Linked DNA regions of Saccharomyces cerevisiae S288C. Changing the gene in region 4 together with the main gene of any one other region gives a genetic interaction. Each region holds a gene or a part of one and is shown on either strand. Other genes may lie near its edges.

What was found.
Region 1: mutations in FUS2 (region 4) and YLL066W-B together harm fitness more than expected from each alone (negative genetic interaction), as found in Saccharomyces cerevisiae (one large-scale study listed by BioGRID).
Region 2: mutations in FUS2 (region 4) and SDD1 together harm fitness more than expected from each alone (negative genetic interaction), as found in Saccharomyces cerevisiae (one large-scale study listed by BioGRID).
Region 3: mutations in FUS2 (region 4) and SRV2 together harm fitness more than expected from each alone (negative genetic interaction), as found in Saccharomyces cerevisiae (one large-scale study listed by BioGRID).

Annotation. Positions count from the first base shown.
Region 1 is NC_001144.5:3,454-6,891, reverse strand, and holds YLL066W-B (uncharacterized protein), read right to left. Parts: upstream 1,288-3,438; coding exon 1,117-1,287; downstream 1-1,116. Other genes in the region: YLL066C (Y' element ATP-dependent helicase), read left to right, coding at 1-772; YLL067C (Y' element ATP-dependent helicase), read left to right, coding at 2,591-2,877, 2,977-3,438.
Region 2 is NC_001137.3:43,897-47,716, reverse strand, and holds SDD1 (Sdd1p), read left to right. Parts: upstream 1-1,995; coding exon 1,996-2,697; downstream 2,698-3,820. Other genes in the region: HAT2 (Hat2p), read right to left, coding at 1-549; phosphoacetylglucosamine mutase PCM1, read right to left, coding at 2,792-3,820. UniProt on the Saccharomyces cerevisiae protein: Acts as an endogenous target of the ribosome quality control (RQC) pathway. During translation, the nascent chain has a propensity to stall ribosomes, thereby stimulating activation of the RQC pathway.
Region 3 is NC_001146.8:363,761-368,821, reverse strand, and holds SRV2 (adenylate cyclase-binding protein), read right to left. Parts: upstream 2,082-5,061; coding exon 501-2,081; downstream 1-500. Other genes in the region: mitochondrial 37S ribosomal protein uS4m NAM9, read left to right, coding at 1-227; U2 snRNP complex subunit YSF3, read right to left, coding at 2,410-2,664, 2,787-2,789; THO2 (Tho2p), read left to right, coding at 3,105-5,061. UniProt on the Saccharomyces cerevisiae protein: The N-terminal domain binds to adenylyl cyclase, thereby enabling adenylyl cyclase to be activated by upstream regulatory signals, such as Ras. The C-terminal domain is required for normal cellular morphology and growth control.
Region 4 is NC_001145.3:735,164-740,565, reverse strand, and holds FUS2 (Fus2p), read right to left. Parts: upstream 3,641-5,402; coding exon 1,607-3,640; downstream 1-1,606. Other genes in the region: RNH1 (RNA-DNA hybrid ribonuclease), read right to left, coding at 1-300; TRI1 (Tri1p), read right to left, coding at 701-1,381; tethering complex subunit PEP5, read right to left, coding at 3,932-5,402. UniProt on the Saccharomyces cerevisiae protein: Promotes cell fusion during zygote formation.

The DNA.
Region 1 (3,438 bases), on a different chromosome or scaffold from region 4:
CCCTGTAGGGTATTTGAAATTTTTTAGCGTAAAAAGGGGAGAGATCTACTCTCAGATACAGAGAAATTATGCTTGGTACCTGGCCATTACTAGAAGAAGAGAAACAATTAGTGTATTGGATTCGACAAGAGGCAAGCAAGGGAGCCAAGTTTTCCGCATGTCTGGAAGGCAGATCAAAGAGTTGTATTATAAAGTATGGAGCAACTTGCGTGAATCGAAGACAGAGGTGCTGCAGTACTTTTTGAACTGGGACGAGAAAAAGTGCCGGGAAGAATGGGAGGCAAAAGACGATACGGTCTTTGTGGAAGCGCTCGAGAAAGTTGGAGTTTTTCAGCGTTTGCGTTCCATGACGAGCGCTGGACTGCAGGGTCCGCAGTACGTCAAGCTGCAGTTTAGCAGGCATCATCGACAGTTGAGGAGCAGATATGAATTAAGTCTAGGAATGCACTTGCGAGATCAGCTTGCGCTGGGAGTTACCCCATCTAAAGTGCCGCATTGGACGGCATTCCTGTCGATGCTGATAGGGCTGTTCTACAATAAAACATTTCGGCAGAAACTGGAATATCTTTTGGAGCAGATTTCGGAGGTGTGGTTGTTACCACATTGGGTTGATTTGGCAAACGTTGAAGTTCTCGCTGCAGATAACACGAGGGTACCGCTGTACATGCTGATGGTAGCGGTTCACAAAGAGCTGGATAGCGATGATGTTCCAGACGGTAGATTTGATATAATATTACTATGTAGAGATTCGAGCAGAGAAGTTGGAGAGTGAAGGAAATTGTTGTTACGAAAGTCAGTGATTATGTATTGTGTAGTATAGTATATTGTAAGAAATTTTTTTTTCTAGGGAATATGCGTTTTGATGTAGTAGTATTTCACTGTTTTGATTTAGTGTTTGTTGCACGGCAGTAGCGAGAGACAAGTGGGAAAGAGTAGGATAAAAAGACAATCTATAAAAAGTAAACATAAAATAAAGGTAGTAAGTAGCTTTTGGTTGAACATCCGGGTAAGAGACAACAGGGCTTGGAGGAGACGTACATGAGGGCTACTTAGGGCTATGTAAAAGTGTTGTAGGGCTAAAGAAGAGGGTTTCATTTTCATTTTTTTTAATTTCGGTCAGAAAGCCGGGTAAGGTGTGACAGCGAGAGTAAAGGTAGATGTAAGAGAGTGTGTGGGTGTGTGGTGTGTGTGGGTGTGGGTGTGGTGTGGGTGTGGTGTGTGGGTGTGGTGTATATATATGTCACTGTATTGCATGCTGGATGGTGTTAGACAAGGCCGTAGGGACATATAGCATCTAGGAAGTAACCTTGTACGAAAATAGGCAATATTTCCTGTTTAGGCGATTGTGACGCAGATTTTAGTCCAACGATCTAGCGTCAAGGAATTTTTTTATAGTGGGACATTGCACCAAGGAAGTAACTTGATACGTCGTGGGTGAATGGGTCTGTTTTCTTATTCGGCAGGGTAATACATTTTTGGGGGAAGTTTGTCTGTCTGACGCGCCATATGTAGGTACGCCAAAAAGGGCTCCTCTACTTCGAAGCGCGAGGTCGTATACCTAATAAGGAAATGTAATTTATAACTTTCTATTATATTGGTCTTTTCGAGAGCGGAAGAAGTTGTAGGCTAAGCGCAGGCTAAGCGTAGGTCCATATTTAAAGTATCCAAGAGAATATCCACGAAGCGGCTGAGCAACGAACAGAATCCTGGTTCTCCTCGACTAAGCAGATAGTTAAGATACTGTGCACCATGGAAATTGAAAACGAACGTACGTACCGACTACTTTATTTTTGCAGGCCGGAAATCAAGGATGAATGAGACATCCTTCTGTTTTCTATGTTGGGACAGACAGTCGCTTATCTTAGTGAGATTTCTTATTAACTGAATTTTCTTTGCTGCTGCTGGAGATTTGCACCTGCATAGCGCAGATTCTGCTTCTTCTCAATAGAGTAGCTTAATTATTACATTCTTAGATGATGATAAGACGGAAACTGGACAATCTTTTGTTTATATTGATGGATTTCTTGTCAAAAAGCATAACAATCAACATACTATTGTTAATTTCGAAACTTACAAAAATAAAATGAAAGTTTCCGATAGGCGTAAGTTTGAAAAAGCAAACTTTGACGAGTTTGAGTCGGCTCTAAATAACAAAAACGACTTGGTACATTGTCCCTCAATAACTTTATTTGAATCGATCCCCACGGAAGTGCGGTCATTCTACGAAGACGAAAAGTCTGGCCTAATCAAAGTGGTAAAATTCAGAACTGGTGCAATGGATAGGAAAAGGTCTTTTGAAAAAATTGTCGTTTCCGTCATGGTCGGGAAAAATGTACAAAAGTTCCTGACGTTTGTTGAAGACGAACCAGATTTCCAGGGCGGACCAATCCCTTCAAAGTATCTTATTCCCAAGAAAATCAACTTGATGGTCTACACGTTGTTTCAAGTGCATACTTTGAAATTCAATAGAAAGGATTACGATACCCTTTCTCTTTTTTACCTCAACAGAGGATACTATAATGAGTTGAGTTTCCGTGTCCTGGAACGTTGTCACGAAATAGCGAGTGCCAGGCCGAACGACAGCTCTACGATGCGTACTTTCACTGACTTTGTTTCTGGCGCACCTATTGTAAGGAGTCTTCAGAAAAGCACCATAAGGAGATATGGGTACAATTTGGCACCCCACATGTTTTTGTTACTACACGTAGATGAGCTATCGATTTTTTCTGCATACCAAGCAAGTTTACCTGGCGAAAAGAAAGTCGACACAGAGCGGCTGAAGCGTGATCTATGCCCACGTAAACCCATTGAGATAAAGTACTTTTCACAGATATGTAACGATATGATGAACAAAAAGGACCGATTGGGTGATGTTTTGCATGTGTGCTGCCCAAGTTGAGAAGAGATACTAACAAAATGACCGCGGCTCTCAAAAATAATTGACGAGCTTACGGTGATACGCTTACCGTTATCCAGAGCTACAGCGCAACGTATACGTCGACGATACAACAAGAACGGTTCATCGGAGCCTCGACTAAAGACGCTTGACGGACTCACTTCCGAGCGCTGGATTCAATGGTTAGGCCTTGAAAGCGACTACCATTGTTCATTCTCTAGTACTCGGAATGCGGAAGACGTAGTGGCAGGTGAGGCGGCGAGTTCAGATCATGATCAAAAAATTTCAAGAGTAACGCGAAAAAGGCCCCGAGAGCCCAAGAGTACAAACGATATCCTCGTCGCAGGCCAGAAACTCTTTGGCAGCTCCTTTGAATTCAGGGACTTGCATCAGTTGCGCTTATGTCATGAAATATACATGGCAGACACACCCTCTGTGGCAGTACAGGCCCCACCGGGCTATGGTAAGACGGAGTTATTTCATCTCCCCTTGATAGCACTGGCGTCTAAGGGCGACGTGAAATATGTGTCGTTTCTGTTTGT
Region 2 (3,820 bases), on a different chromosome or scaffold from region 4:
ATGATCATCTGAGCCGGAAAGCAATCGCCCTTTGACCAAAGTGCTAAATGATAAAGCATAACCGTTATCCTTATGAAATTTTAGTGTTGACTGAAGACCTTCTGAGCGAGAATAGAGGAAAACTGTGCCTTGCCCATTTATTGTGGCGACAATATTAGGGTCTTGAGGCATATATCGGGCTCTAGTGATTTCTTCTTCGTGCTCATATTTAGCGGTAATCCTTATATTTGACCTAGGAGCAGGTAGAGAGGACTGATACTCCTCTCCTGCTTCTTCTTGTGGGTCTTCATTACTAAGAATTTCCTTTGGTAGATTAATTTCTGCGAATTTCAAATAGTTTTCTTCTTCACCAGAAGTGTGCGTACCGATGATTAATTCTTGTTTAATAAAGCCACCATCTAATTCTTGAACAGGAGTAGGGAGCCATTGGACGGTTAAAGATGGCCATGTTAAACGTGTCTCGCTAACAAAGTCATACATTAATGGAACATTGGATTTCCATAAATCGTACTCCTCGTCTACAGAAAGCGGTTTCTCTTGGTTTTCCATAGTTGATTGGTAATTTGCTATTTGGTGACTACTAGGCTAACCACAATTGATAGGAGAGATAAGAGAGGCAGAAGTATTAGAGGCATAGTAACGTCTTTCTAGTTATTCTCCATTATTATTTTCAAGGTTTGTCTTTGTCATGTCGACGAATGCCAGTGAAAACATCCGTACACCTCACAAATTGTTATTTTGAACAGAACAGACGAGCTACTCATCAAGTATCAAATAGACTGAACAAATGACCTAATCTTTCTAGATTACTCCAAAAGAAAAAGCTGAAAGGAAACCGGTTAAAAACATGAAAGCTTTCTGTAGGGAAGTTTTTTCCTCGCTCTGCTCCTGAGCCTACAGGAGCATGGAAATGGTTGAAAGGACCGAGGAAGAAAGGGAGCATGTCAAATAGAACAAGAGGAAAAAAAAGGTGAAAACAGCTATTTTAAGCAGCAGAAGTTTGAGTCAGAAATGCCTACAATATATGAGAATTTCTTCGCACATGGTTTAAAAAAACTAAATAATCCGCGTGATAACGTTCTCACCAGATTATGAAATCAAATAACAATGCCCCACCTGTATATTGCGATTGACGTAAACGGTAATAAATGTAAAATTTAACATAAAAAAGGGTAAAGAAAACAAACTTTTTCAGGGGTCATCCCTTTTTGTTTTCTTTTTCATTCTTATAAATCAAGAGTATTTTATCGGTAGACAGTTTAGCCGCCGATTTTGTACCGCAGTCCAATATTAGTAAATGTTGGGCACCACTTTGAACATACCGACTCATTGAGACTGCAAGAGCAATTATTTTATATTCTTCTTGAGGCGCCGTTAAAGAGAGAATGAACACGACAATTATCTACAGCATGCAATCGTGGTCAGAATTCTAACTTTTTGTCTTATAAATGCGCACGTATTATTTTCATTTATGTATATATAGATAAATCAGAGCATTGAGTAGTAAAACTGAAGGCTCAAGAGTTCTGATACGCGATGAGAATTCGTGCAGTTAGGATGTCAATTTTGCCAAAATTGGGACGGGCGGCTGCCGTCCGGGGATTCCATGAAGAGAGTGGAAAAAAAAGTGTCACTAACTTCCCACAGGTATCCCCGACACCCTATCCTGCGCTAAGAAAGCCAATCGGCTGAATGTGCAATTGATTGACGTTGAAGGAAAAGAAAAAAAGGAGAAAATTGGGGCGATAATAACAATCACAAACGTCTTCCACTTTTTATCAAATGTTGCGGGAAGAAATAAGGGTAAAATGCCTTGTGTAGGTTCATACATATATAAATAAGTAAGGAAGTTAAAAGAAACCCTTCAAAATGTAACCTACATCATGCGTAGGCTTAATATTAAGCGGAGAAAATCGGCAAGCCCAAGCTTATATTCATATTATGGAATACAAAAGGCGAAAAAGAAAATTGACTAGTAACTAAATTGAAAATTAAATGGCAAATGATGGGATTCAGAGGAATGACAACAGAAAGGGTTTTAAAACTGTACAGTTCTCGGCTTATTCTAAAGAAATTGACGTCATAATGAAAAAAATATCATTCTTGGAAAGAAACATTACCCAACAACTAGATACTCTTCCTCATTTTCCAAAAACCTTACCACCAAATCACAAAGATTGTGTAAGTAGAAAGCACAGGGCCAGGCGAGGTTGGAGTAGTCAGCTGAAAAACTTGCTAGGCATTTACTCCAAAGAGGAAATTTTTACTCTGGATAATTTAGCTGCAACACTGCATGATCAAGTTTTAAAGTTACAAGCTACACTTTTTCCCAATGCCATACTGAAACAGGTTCATCTCGACAATGCCAACATAGAAAACAAGAGAATTCTGAAGGAAATTACATATAAATACCTTTCCAACGAAAACTGTAAAGAGGAGAACAAATTCGGAACATTCATCGTAAAGAGAATTTTTTTTGGTGACTTATCACTCGGGGTTTCCGTGTTAATCAACCGTATTGCTTTCGAATCGGCCACATCATCCATTATGGTAGTGAGAAGTTCATTTATTGAAAGTGATTTCTTTTATGAAGATTATTTGATTTTCGATTGCAGAGCGAAACGACGAAAAAAATTGAAGAGGAAAATTTTGTTTATTTCCACTACCATGAATTTCAATTACCAAACCAAAGTCTAAGCCTGTAACAAACGTTGATTGATACCAATATTTTTTCTCTTTCATTTATCTCTCTGTATATCTAAATAGCTATACTATACATCGAATAATGCTTTCAAGCAGATGCCTTAACGTGCTCCACCACTTCGTCACAAAATTGACCTAACTTAGAGGAGTCCTTACATTCCGCATAAACCCTCACCGCATCCTCCGTACCACTGGCTCTGACAAAGCTTCTTCCCATGGGATACTTGGCTACCACAAGATCTATCTTGTCTTGCAACCCCACTGGATTGAGCAATTTTCTTTCCTGGTCCGTGGTTTGGAAAATTGACCTATCAGGAACGATGCACTTAACCAGCTTGTTGGGCAAATCAGTATACTCTTCATCCCAATCCATTGGCGACATTTTCAAAATCGCCAAAGTAGCAAGGACAGCAAGCATGTCTGAAATAGCATCTCCCACGGTCTGATTAATCAATTCAGAGAAACACTTCAAAGTTCTCAAAGCTAACGTATCACCATTTAACTTGGACTTGGATAATTCAGATTTGATAGTTCGATGAAATTTTTCGCTGAATATAATCGTACCATGTCCATTTGCTTCGAAATAAATGCCAATATCGTACTGAGTGGCAGCTTCATGATGCAAGTGTTTAACACCTGTCTTAGTGCAAGACACGGGACAGTGCAACGTATTTTTTATGTAAGCGGTGGAACTGCCGTTTGCATAGGCAGTTTGCACAACACCAATCTTCAAAGAATGTTCTAGGTGTGCCAATTCTAGTTGTTTAGACAAGAACTTTGCAAACAAAGTGGAAATTTTGTCACCATCCAACAAATGAAATTTTGATCCTGAGTCGACATAGTAGAACACAACCCTGTCTGCGTCACCATCAAAGGAGCAATATAGCGAATCAAACGAGGATGGAGAAAGACCCTTGGGTAATCTCTGGTTAGTCTTCACATAATCCGCACCGCATTCAAAATTCAACAGTTCTGGAACATCGGACCTGTCGTTGATTACCTCAACTTGCTCCGCTGGCACGTCCCAATCTTCGGAGGCCAGTAGTTTTTTCAACTGTGGACCACCGATACCATTGGCTGTGTCTATGAACAATTTTGGGACAGACAGCCTCTTCTC
Region 3 (5,061 bases), on a different chromosome or scaffold from region 4:
ATGGTAGGCAAGATCCTAAAAAACCCTTTTTCACACCATGGAAGCCAAGACCATTTTTATCGCCTTTCGCCATTTTACCTCATCATTTGGAAATATCTTTCAAGACATGCCACGCTGTATACCTAAGGGATCCCGTCGCTCGACCAGGCCAATCCGAAGTAATTTCACCATTTGATGTTCCTGTTCATGAACGTGCATATATGTATTACTTGAGAAATGGTAAATGATCGTCGTGTATTGTTGCACGCGTCTTTTGACTGATCTTCAGCCTCTCTTTACACTGTAAATATTTAATTTTTTTTGTTTTTAAGTTCTACTCGAACGATCAAGTAGTCACTTAGTCGCTCCTCGTTTTCCTGTTACTTCTTTAAGAAAAGGTTACACATGAAAAAAAGGTTTTACAAAAAGTATATAATTGTTTATTCATTCACTTTTCTTTCTGATTGATTCAAATGTGATTTATTTCTTTTAACTAAATACAATTAATGCTCCTCGCAATATTAACCAGCATGTTCGAAAACAGCAGATTTGAACTTACCATCAGCGAAGCTATGCTTCATCTGTTCAGGGATTGGGAATTCTACGTAATCATCGTCCTCGCCGATTGGTAAGTTGACGTTAATAGCAGTTGAGCACGAGGTGTAGATTTCAGTATTCAAGGATTCCTTGGATAAATAGATGTTACCGCCGTCAGATTTATCAATGGAGATTTGAGGTAGGGAATGGTTAACTTGAATGCCAAACTTGTTGGATTTGATGACATCCATACCGGAAATGCTAGAATCAAGAACAACACTGCATGACTCAGTTTCACTCAACGAGATAGCGTTAACTTTTCCTTTTATTTGAACAAGAACTTGAGAACATTTACCTATGAAGATAGACTCATCTTTATTTGCATCAATAACCAGAGATTCAGTTTCATTTTCGTAATTCTCAATAAACCATTTGTTTCCTACCAATTCCTTTCTAGGAGGCCTCTTAGTTTTCAATGTTGATGGCTTTTTTGGCCTTGGTGGTGGACCGGATTTACTTCCTGTGGAAGAAACTGTAGAGGATTGACGTAATTCAGGATTTTTGTGAGTTTGTTGGGATTTGTCTACTTTTTTCAAACCCTTAGTGATATTTTCACCCTGATTTAGTTCGGCGAAGACCGCGCCAATACCGCCTTTGTTAGCATCACTACTCGTTGCTGGTGTATCATTAGAGATTTCAAAGACGGAAGCTGGTGGGGCTGGTGGAGGAGGTGGTGGTGCTGGAGCCGCTGTAGCACTTGCTGGCGAAGGAGATGAAGTAGCACCTGTATTCTTCGTTGATTGTGCCATCGCGTCAGCAAAATCCATACCGTCTTTTTTCCAGGAAACCCCAGTAGTATGATACTCTTTAATGTAGGCTTTCAAATTATCGAAAGAGGCCAAAAATTTCTTAACCCATTCAACAGCATTAGGATCAGACTCTCTGTATTCTTTCAAAATTCTATTAGTCCAAAACTGTGCTGCGTCCTTGAAATCTGTGACCATAGACACGGGAGTGTCCACTGCAACCCAGGAGAACAAAGGAGCACCCTCAGATAAAGCGCTCAAATATGCGAAGTATTTGCTTTGACGGTTTGATTCCTTCAATTGACCCAGCTTTATAATATTTTCGTTGATAGGTCTTAAAGAATCAGCGAAAGTTTGAGAAGAATAATCCGGTTTTCTTGATCTCACAGCAGCTCTTAAAAAAGTCAATTGCGATTGAAAGCCTCCCTTTAGCAACTGCAAAGCATCTAAGACCACCGTGTCGATCTTTCCTGATAATTCTACCAGCGGATCAATATTCTCACCGATGTAAGATTGGAACGCAGTTATGCATTTCGGATCTTGTTCTACTTCAGGAGCATTTTCTGCAGAAGGTTCATTCGTAGTATTCGCATCGGCCCCGGAGTCGGAAGGCTTGTTATTTTTAGATGCCTCCAATTTATTCTGAATATAACCTTCTTGATAGATGGTGACATCCTCTAATCTTGCAGTGGCTTCTTCTAGCCTTTTTAATAGCTTAACAAGGTTATAACCTTGCATTGTGTACTTAGAGTCAGGCATGATTCGATTTCACACGGTTGCAACTTGGCCTACTCAATTACGAAAAGTTTCAAGCTGAGTTTTCCCCTATACTACCAAAAGATTTCACTTCTAAATCCCTGTTTATGACTTCACGCGACATGTATAGATCATTTTAAACGATATGAATTGTATACTGTCCCAACATTTTATATCTTTATATAAACATCAAGGTTAATAATGTTCGACAGTTACTAGAATCAATGCCTAAAAGGTTACTGACTGAGTGTGATCTCTACCATAAATCTTGAGAACGACATACGAGGCGTAATTTTATGTAAAAATTATTTATGGATGTGGCTTCAACGTCCTACCTCTCTTCTCGTAAGTAGGCTTTATAGCCAGGGGACATGGATTTCAGGAGGTGAATACGAGTGTCACGTATACTAAGGTCTCCTCGGCTCAATGAAACGTACTCCAAAGATGCGGAGTGGCCTTGTAATGTATTTAGTGTATCGTTTCTCACATTTCTCTGCCACTGTTCTCGTGTAGTGCTCTCATCTCCCAGTCCGATGTACTTTTGTTTGTATATCTTCTGCAACTTCAACTGCCTCTGCTTTTCCGCCTGTTTTGAGTATTAGCATTACGTATAAGCCGCACGGACTTGCACGATTCATCGCAAGCGTAGTTAGTACCATGGTAAAGATGATTTCAATTCAAACTAAAGCGCAATAGAACGTAACATACCATTTCTTTTCTTAATTTCACTGTTTCGAATTGTGTAATATAACCATTTTAGCCACTATTTACATGTTCTGAATGAGAAGGCTTATGTTCTTCTCTTCTTCCCGGGTGACAACGCTAACTTCGGCGTAAGATTTTCCGCTATTTCTTCAATAGCGACATAACGTATGAGAGTTTATGCCCAGGGAACACGTTGATTTAGAAGCAAACACTGTTGCATAAATTATAGGGCTGTGATTTTATCGTCTTTATCTAAAGCATAATAGGGTGAAACGGTTTCAGTTGATACATATTCGCACCAGTATACATTTTCAGGACTTTATGGCAGAACAGACGCTACTTTCCAAATTGAACGCTCTTTCTCAAAAAGTGATACCACCAGCTTCCCCTAGTCAGGCAAGCATTTTAACGGAAGAGGTGATACGAAACTGGCCTGAACGATCAAAAACTCTCTGCTCCGATTTCACTGCACTGGAGTCAAATGATGAAAAGGAAGACTGGTTGAGGACTTTGTTTATTGAACTGTTTGATTTCATAAATAAAAACGATGAAAATTCTCCCCTCAAGCTTTCTGATGTTGCATCATTTACTAATGAATTAGTGAATCATGAAAGGCAAGTGTCCCAGGCTTCCATAGTTGGTAAAATGTTTATCGCCGTCTCAAGCACTGTTCCAAATATAAATGATCTAACAACCATATCATTATGTAAACTAATACCGTCGTTGCATGAAGAATTGTTCAAATTTAGTTGGATATCCTCTAAGCTGCTCAACAAGGAACAAACCACCTTATTAAGGCATTTGTTAAAAAAGTCAAAATACGAACTGAAGAAATATAACCTTTTGGTAGAAAATTCAGTGGGTTATGGTCAATTGGTAGCCTTATTAATATTGGCGTATTATGATCCCGACAATTTTTCCAAAGTGTCCGCATATTTGAAAGAAATCTATCATATTATGGGGAAATATTCCTTGGATTCTATTCGTACTTTAGATGTTATTTTGAACGTTTCTAGTCAGTTTATCACTGAAGGGTACAAGTTCTTTATTGCTCTTTTACGAAAGTCGGATTCTTGGCCATCTAGCCATGTAGCTAACAATTCCAATTATTCTTCTCTTAATGAAGGCGGTAATATGATTGCAGCAAACATTATTTCATTCAATTTATCGCAATATAACGAAGAAGTCGATAAGGAAAACTATGAACGGTATATGGATATGTGTTGCATTTTACTGAAAAATGGGTTTGTCAATTTTTATTCTATTTGGGATAACGTTAAACCAGAGATGGAATTTCTACAAGAATATATTCAAAACTTAGAAACTGAACTGGAAGAGGAGTCCACTAAAGGCGTAGAAAATCCCTTGGCTATGGCAGCTGCTTTGTCCACTGAAAATGAAACTGACGAAGACAACGCCCTTGTTGTAAATGATGATGTTAATATGAAGGATAAAATCTCTGAGGAAACAAACGCTGATATAGAATCAAAAGGCAAGCAGAAAACTCAGCAAGATATTTTATTATTTGGTAAAATAAAACTCTTGGAACGCTTACTCATACATGGTTGCGTTATTCCCGTGATACATGTGTTAAAGCAATATCCGAAAGTGTTATATGTTAGTGAATCCTTATCTAGATATTTGGGAAGAGTATTTGAATATCTTTTAAATCCATTGTACACATCAATGACCTCATCTGGTGAATCAAAAGATATGGCAACTGCTTTGATGATAACCCGTATAGATAATGGTATTCTAGCCCATAAGCCAAGGTTGATCCATAAATATAAAACTCACGAGCCATTTGAATCCCTTGAATTGAATTCAAGCTACGTCTTCTATTACAGCGAGTGGAATTCCAATTTGACTCCTTTTGCTTCTGTAAATGATCTATTTGAAAACTCGCATATCTATTTATCTATCATAGGACCGTATTTGGGGAGAATTCCTACGCTTTTGAGTAAGATTTCACGTATTGGGGTAGCTGACATTCAAAAGAACCACGGTTCTGAGTCTCTGCATGTTACGATTGATAAGTGGATAGACTATGTAAGAAAATTCATTTTTCCAGCTACCTCGCTATTGCAGAACAATCCAATTGCCACATCGGAAGTTTACGAACTAATGAAATTTTTCCCTTTTGAAAAAAGATATTTTATTTACAACGAAATGATGACGAAATTATCCCAAGATATTCTACCGCTTAAGGTGAGCTTCAATAAGGCCGAAAGAGAAGCGAAGAGTATTTTGAAGGCTTTGAGTATAGATACAATCGCAA
Region 4 (5,402 bases):
TAAAGATGAACATGCTGATGACGATGTCAAGGAGGAATAATGAAGTGGCCGATTCCTTCGATGAACTCGCTTTTGAGTGGTATGAGGTTTACTAACTTGCCCTCCAGCATGCGTTGAACTTCCATAGTTTGATGTAGTATTTGGTTGACCTAGGAAAGATTTCGCTTGCTCGTAGCTGTTAAATTTTTTATAAATTGCACCACCATAACCATCAACTTGGTTTTTACATTCATTCCATGTATTATAGATCCCAGTTTCCCTGCCCTTTCTAACCGCGTAGAAGTTCCCTTGCCTTGCCATAATTAGGAATCGATAGTTCCTTCGATAAGCAAGGAGTGACACTTTAACTAATTTAAACAACGTGTATTATTGTGCTGCCATGAAATTAATATAGATCTTTACGACTATTGTACTTGCTTTTATTCATTGTTGATGCTGCTGTCATTTTTACATTTTTTTCTCCAGATAAAAAATAAAAAAAATATGCCATTAATTGATATCATCAGAATTTGACGAAATTCTCAAATCGAATTTGCCATAGTATTTCTTTAACGCCGTGAAGTGAAATTATTTATTACTAATGCTACATTAATTGTTAATTTACCTGTTTCAAGTACAATACAGTAGGTGCAGTGTGCTTTATACATGTCATCAAAGAGGAAAAAAAATCATTAAATTTGTATAAGTGCTACAGCCAAGATCAACCGCTTAAATTGGGAAGAGATTCGTTTTCCAATTTGATTTCTTTTTCGGGTGTTTGCTTTTGTTCCTCTTCATGTTTCACAATTTCATCGGGATTAAACAAGTGCTTAGTTAAGAGTTTATTCATTGAAAACATCGTCATTTTTTTGCCAAAAATTGGTTCCATCTTCTCATCGCATAGAATTTCTCTACGATCTTTTGGGTTTTGAAGATCATGCTCTTTGATATACTGCCATATCATCTTCACTACTTGCGTTCGTGGCAGTTCTTCAGATCCTAGAAACTTTTGTAAAGGAGCTGACAACAGAACTTTGCGGACGGAAATGCTGTTGGAATCAGGACTATCATTCTTTTTCTTCTTCCTTTTAGATTTACTTTCACTTTTACCTTTCCTTTTCCTCGTAGACCTCAAGGGTCTTTCTTCTTCCTTCTGTAACCTCAAAGATAGTTCTTGATCCCGACTAATGAGGTCGTTCTTCGGAATTAAGACTCTTGGGTTTTCTTGTATATCGCCGAACCTCTCAAGAATCAATTCATTAATTAACTTTCTTTGTGAATCCAAATTAACTGAATAGAGAATTTGCAGGGCTTTCCTCACCCTTTTTGGGCTTATTTCATCGGGGTTGGATACGCTCAAAATAGCGTCAACCATCGGAATATATTTATTGATGTCGGCCATAATGCTTTCACCCTCTATTTGCCTTCTATTTGCTCATTTCCTCTTAAACTTTTTCTTAAGGCTTTTCATGAATTAATTAAAATTTTCTTTCTCCTTCGCGCCAGCAAACAAATTATAGGTGACTGACTATAGTTCAACATATATACTGCTCCAGCGCAGTAGTACTACTTTAATAAAAAAGAAAACAAAACATTCTAAAAACTATAAGCTAAATATACTCTTTTGTTAAAGTTCGAAAAGTTTTCTGACAACACGGCTTCCACTAGGGTCTCCAGGGAAAGGCCAATCTTTTCTTACCATGCGTTTTGTCATATATCGTGATTTAGAATAACACTGCAAAATATCAAGATTTTTAATTTGGCCGGTAGCTATAGAGTCATTAAGAGACATATTTTCAAGATCTTTTTGCAGGTATTTTTTTCCACCAGCAATGATTTCCAAATATTTTAAGAAGACTTTGATATAGTTCAACAAGATACATTCGATAGTATCGTGGATCAAAGTAATAAAGACCGGTAATTCCCTTTTCATCTGGTTTTGCAGGTTTTGGAAATGCATTCCCAACAAGTCACGTTTAATATCTCGCACATTTGCTTTTTTTTCTTGTAAAAATAACATGTAATCTTTCTTCAAAGCTTGCAAATCTTTTAGTTTGCTTTTAACGGTAGTACAATGGGCTATGATTCTTTCAAGTGGGTTCATCACATCTGTTTCGAGCTCTGTGAGTTTCAAAATTGTTACTTGATTTTTTTGTTCATGCAGTTTATCTATGTACGAAGAACACATGGTCGATATTAAGTTATCGTGCGCAAAAAATGCACCAGAAGGGCGTTCGCACTCGATCACCTTTTTCCATGCATTTATTCTTCTTAAACTGATATCAATAATGCCTGACAGATCGTTTTTCAATAAATTCTTTTTTAATTCTAACAAACCTTTCATTACTTTCTTGAATTTACTGATGTGATCTGCCAATGTAAAAAATTCTGTTTCTTCATCCATTTTTAGATTTATCATCTCAGCTGAGGCAGTTGAAGTATTAGTGACAATTTCTAGCCCTGATACATCTGAGTAGTAACTCGATGATCCAGAAAGAAGAGAAGGAACTCTACTATTATCCAAATTACTCTCTTGTCGAGATGCATTACATATATTTTTATTTTGTTTGTCTGGGGGTTTTAAAAGGTGTGTAAACTGATCTTCATCATAACTTTGTATAATCTCTGATGGGGTTAAACTGAAATTATACATGGAATTACTCTTATACTCGGAGACCTCGGTTTCTAACTTATTGGAAAATAAAGAATATTTTCTTCTTGTCGGGCTTAGTTTCAAGCCCAATTCTGGCGAAAGAATATCTTCGTAACAGCTTTCCAAAGTTTCCAAAGTATCAATCCACTGAGTCAGTCTTTTCATCGGGCTTTTCAATATGTCCTCTAACTTTATACATCCACTCTCTTTTAAACAATATTCATACCACTTGTTAAAAAAATGATTCTTATTCATCCTTAATGTAGTAAATAGTTCCATTTGTTTTTGGTGGCTAACAAAATAGCTTGTGTAGGTGGATTTGATTCTTAACAAATGTTGCTCGAACGCCTCTGAAATATCAAAAGTTGAATATAGCTGCTGTTGTACCTCATTTTTGGTGAATATCTTTTGCCATTCATTCGCATCCAACATTTTCCCACGTTGCTTGGCTAAAAGTAGGTCTTTTATTGCCGTTACCAGTATTTTGCTGATTGACGCAATAGTGTCAATGTTCCCAAAAAGCAATAGCTCGTCACTTGAATCAAGCTTGACAAGTTTATTCTTGAATCTTGGATCACTATTCAATGCCTTTCTGTATACGTTATTTGCGGTTAACAAATTATTGTAATATTCCACTTCAGAGAGGTAAAACTCCTGTACGATTTTATAAAATTTGCATCCCTCGTGAGGAGAATTGGGAATCTGAGGGCTCAAATTCAGTCTCACGACATTTTGAAATATCTCTGTGTTAATAGGAGAGTAAATTTTTTTATTGCTCAGGCTCTCCACTATAGAATGCAAGTCCAGACTTGCTGGTCGTTTATTCGTGAATTTTTTATCGTTGAGTTTGTTTTCATGTTTCGATAACTTTCTCGTAGGTTTTCTAACAATTTCTGGTAATTTGTCATCATTTTTATGAAAATAGTCATTTTTGTAGTCTCTTATTGGCGTTAATGAATCATTTTTCGGATAGTTCAAATCGTACAAGTTATATGAAGTCTTAAACATCGCAAGGGGTTTTCTTGTCTTTTTCTTAAGAACTTACTATAACAAGAAAACCTAAAATTGGTTTCACAAAGAAAAAAGATACTTTGTCAAATAAAAGACGGTTGCCACATTAATAATTTTTTCAAAAGGATGTATAAAGGGTCTATCTTAAATATACAACTTCGTCTTCACCTTTGTCTTTTCCAACATGCGCTGTTTCAGTAGGTAACATATATGTTTCAGATTAACTTCGCGACAAGTTCGGGGCGCATTTGTGACGCGGCGGCGACAATAGATCGTTATGATCCATCATTAAATAGTGATGTCAGAATAACTGATGGCACCTCTACCTAAAAACTCTGTTATGACTTTGAAACGGTCTCTACTACCTTCTTCACTGTTTAATGCAAAATTCAAAAGATCATTCTTTTCAACTACTTCGTGTTGAGCTTCAAAAAGTTTGTTGGAGGTTTCTAAGTCCACCAAGCATTTGGGACATTTAAAGAGCTTTCTCTCGCTTTCTAGAGTATCTTCTTCCTCATTTAGACAATGTTGGTGGTAAATGTGACCACATTTAAAAAAAACTACAGGAATATCCAATGTCAGTCTACACATGAAACACGTTTGATTCTTCAGGGGTACGTGGAGAGGTTGATCTGAATTAATGGTGTTCTTCAACTTCTTGTTTTTCTCCTTTAACTCTTTATCGTAAGATTCAATTAGTTTTTCGTTCCTTTTGATTTCTGTATCTTCGGTTTTGACATGATCAATAATGATGTCTTGTATCAGCCCAAAGTGGGCTACATTTGTACGGGATAGCGCTTTAATTATATCCAACAGTGGCATTCTTTCCCCCTCTATAATTGGCCTCAATACTTTTTCTTTCAGTACTTCATTACCGCCCATCTCCTTGAAGATTAGTTTATTAGAAACAAAGTAACTCAATGCTACTTGTAAGAGCTTGGGTTCCTCTGTGCCATATTTTTCTAGGAATTTGAGACAAGTACTTGGTTCTTCATTTAACGTCATAGCCCTAAATGTACTCAGCAAATCCATCTCGGGGTTATCATTGGCAAATGAAGCTATGTCAATTTTCGTCTTATCTTTTGCTGAAGCACTACTTTGATCCATATGGGAAATTAACAGCATTATTGAGTTATCCACCCTTTTGCTAGTATTATTACTTGCGGCAGAATACACCAATTTATTGCTCTCACGCAATACGCCAGTTGCTCTTGAACGCCAGTCGTCTATACGCTCGGGTACATCATTTTGCGCCAAATTCAAATATAAGTCATATAAAGTAGTCAAAATTACTTGCCTATCTTCGTCAAAACCCTCATACTGCTGGTAACATGCCAAACAGGCTTCTAAGAAAACAACAAATTCAAAAGGTTTTGTAACGAATGAACTGAAAACAATGGATGGCTTCGGCGGATGATAAGTAGGCTCTTCATGTTCGTGGGATGCCTCTGAAGACTCGCTCATTGCGTCTGATGTACCATTTGAGTTCATGTAGTTGAAGAATGTTTTGTAACTGTAAAAAACTGTTCTAATATTTTCAGAAAAATCGCCCGTCGTATCTCTCCGGTCCAGATCCACTTCAAAAGTGGATGGTTTGAACTTCCCTGTAAATACTTCTATCAGTAAAGCATTAGTTTCATTCGGTGACTCCTCCAGTAATTTTTTCGAGTACGTCACAAGGCATCTTAGGGTTTCATCAATTGGTAAACTTTTTATGTATTTTATGGCTTTTACAGGGTTATGCAATAGATTCAATAAA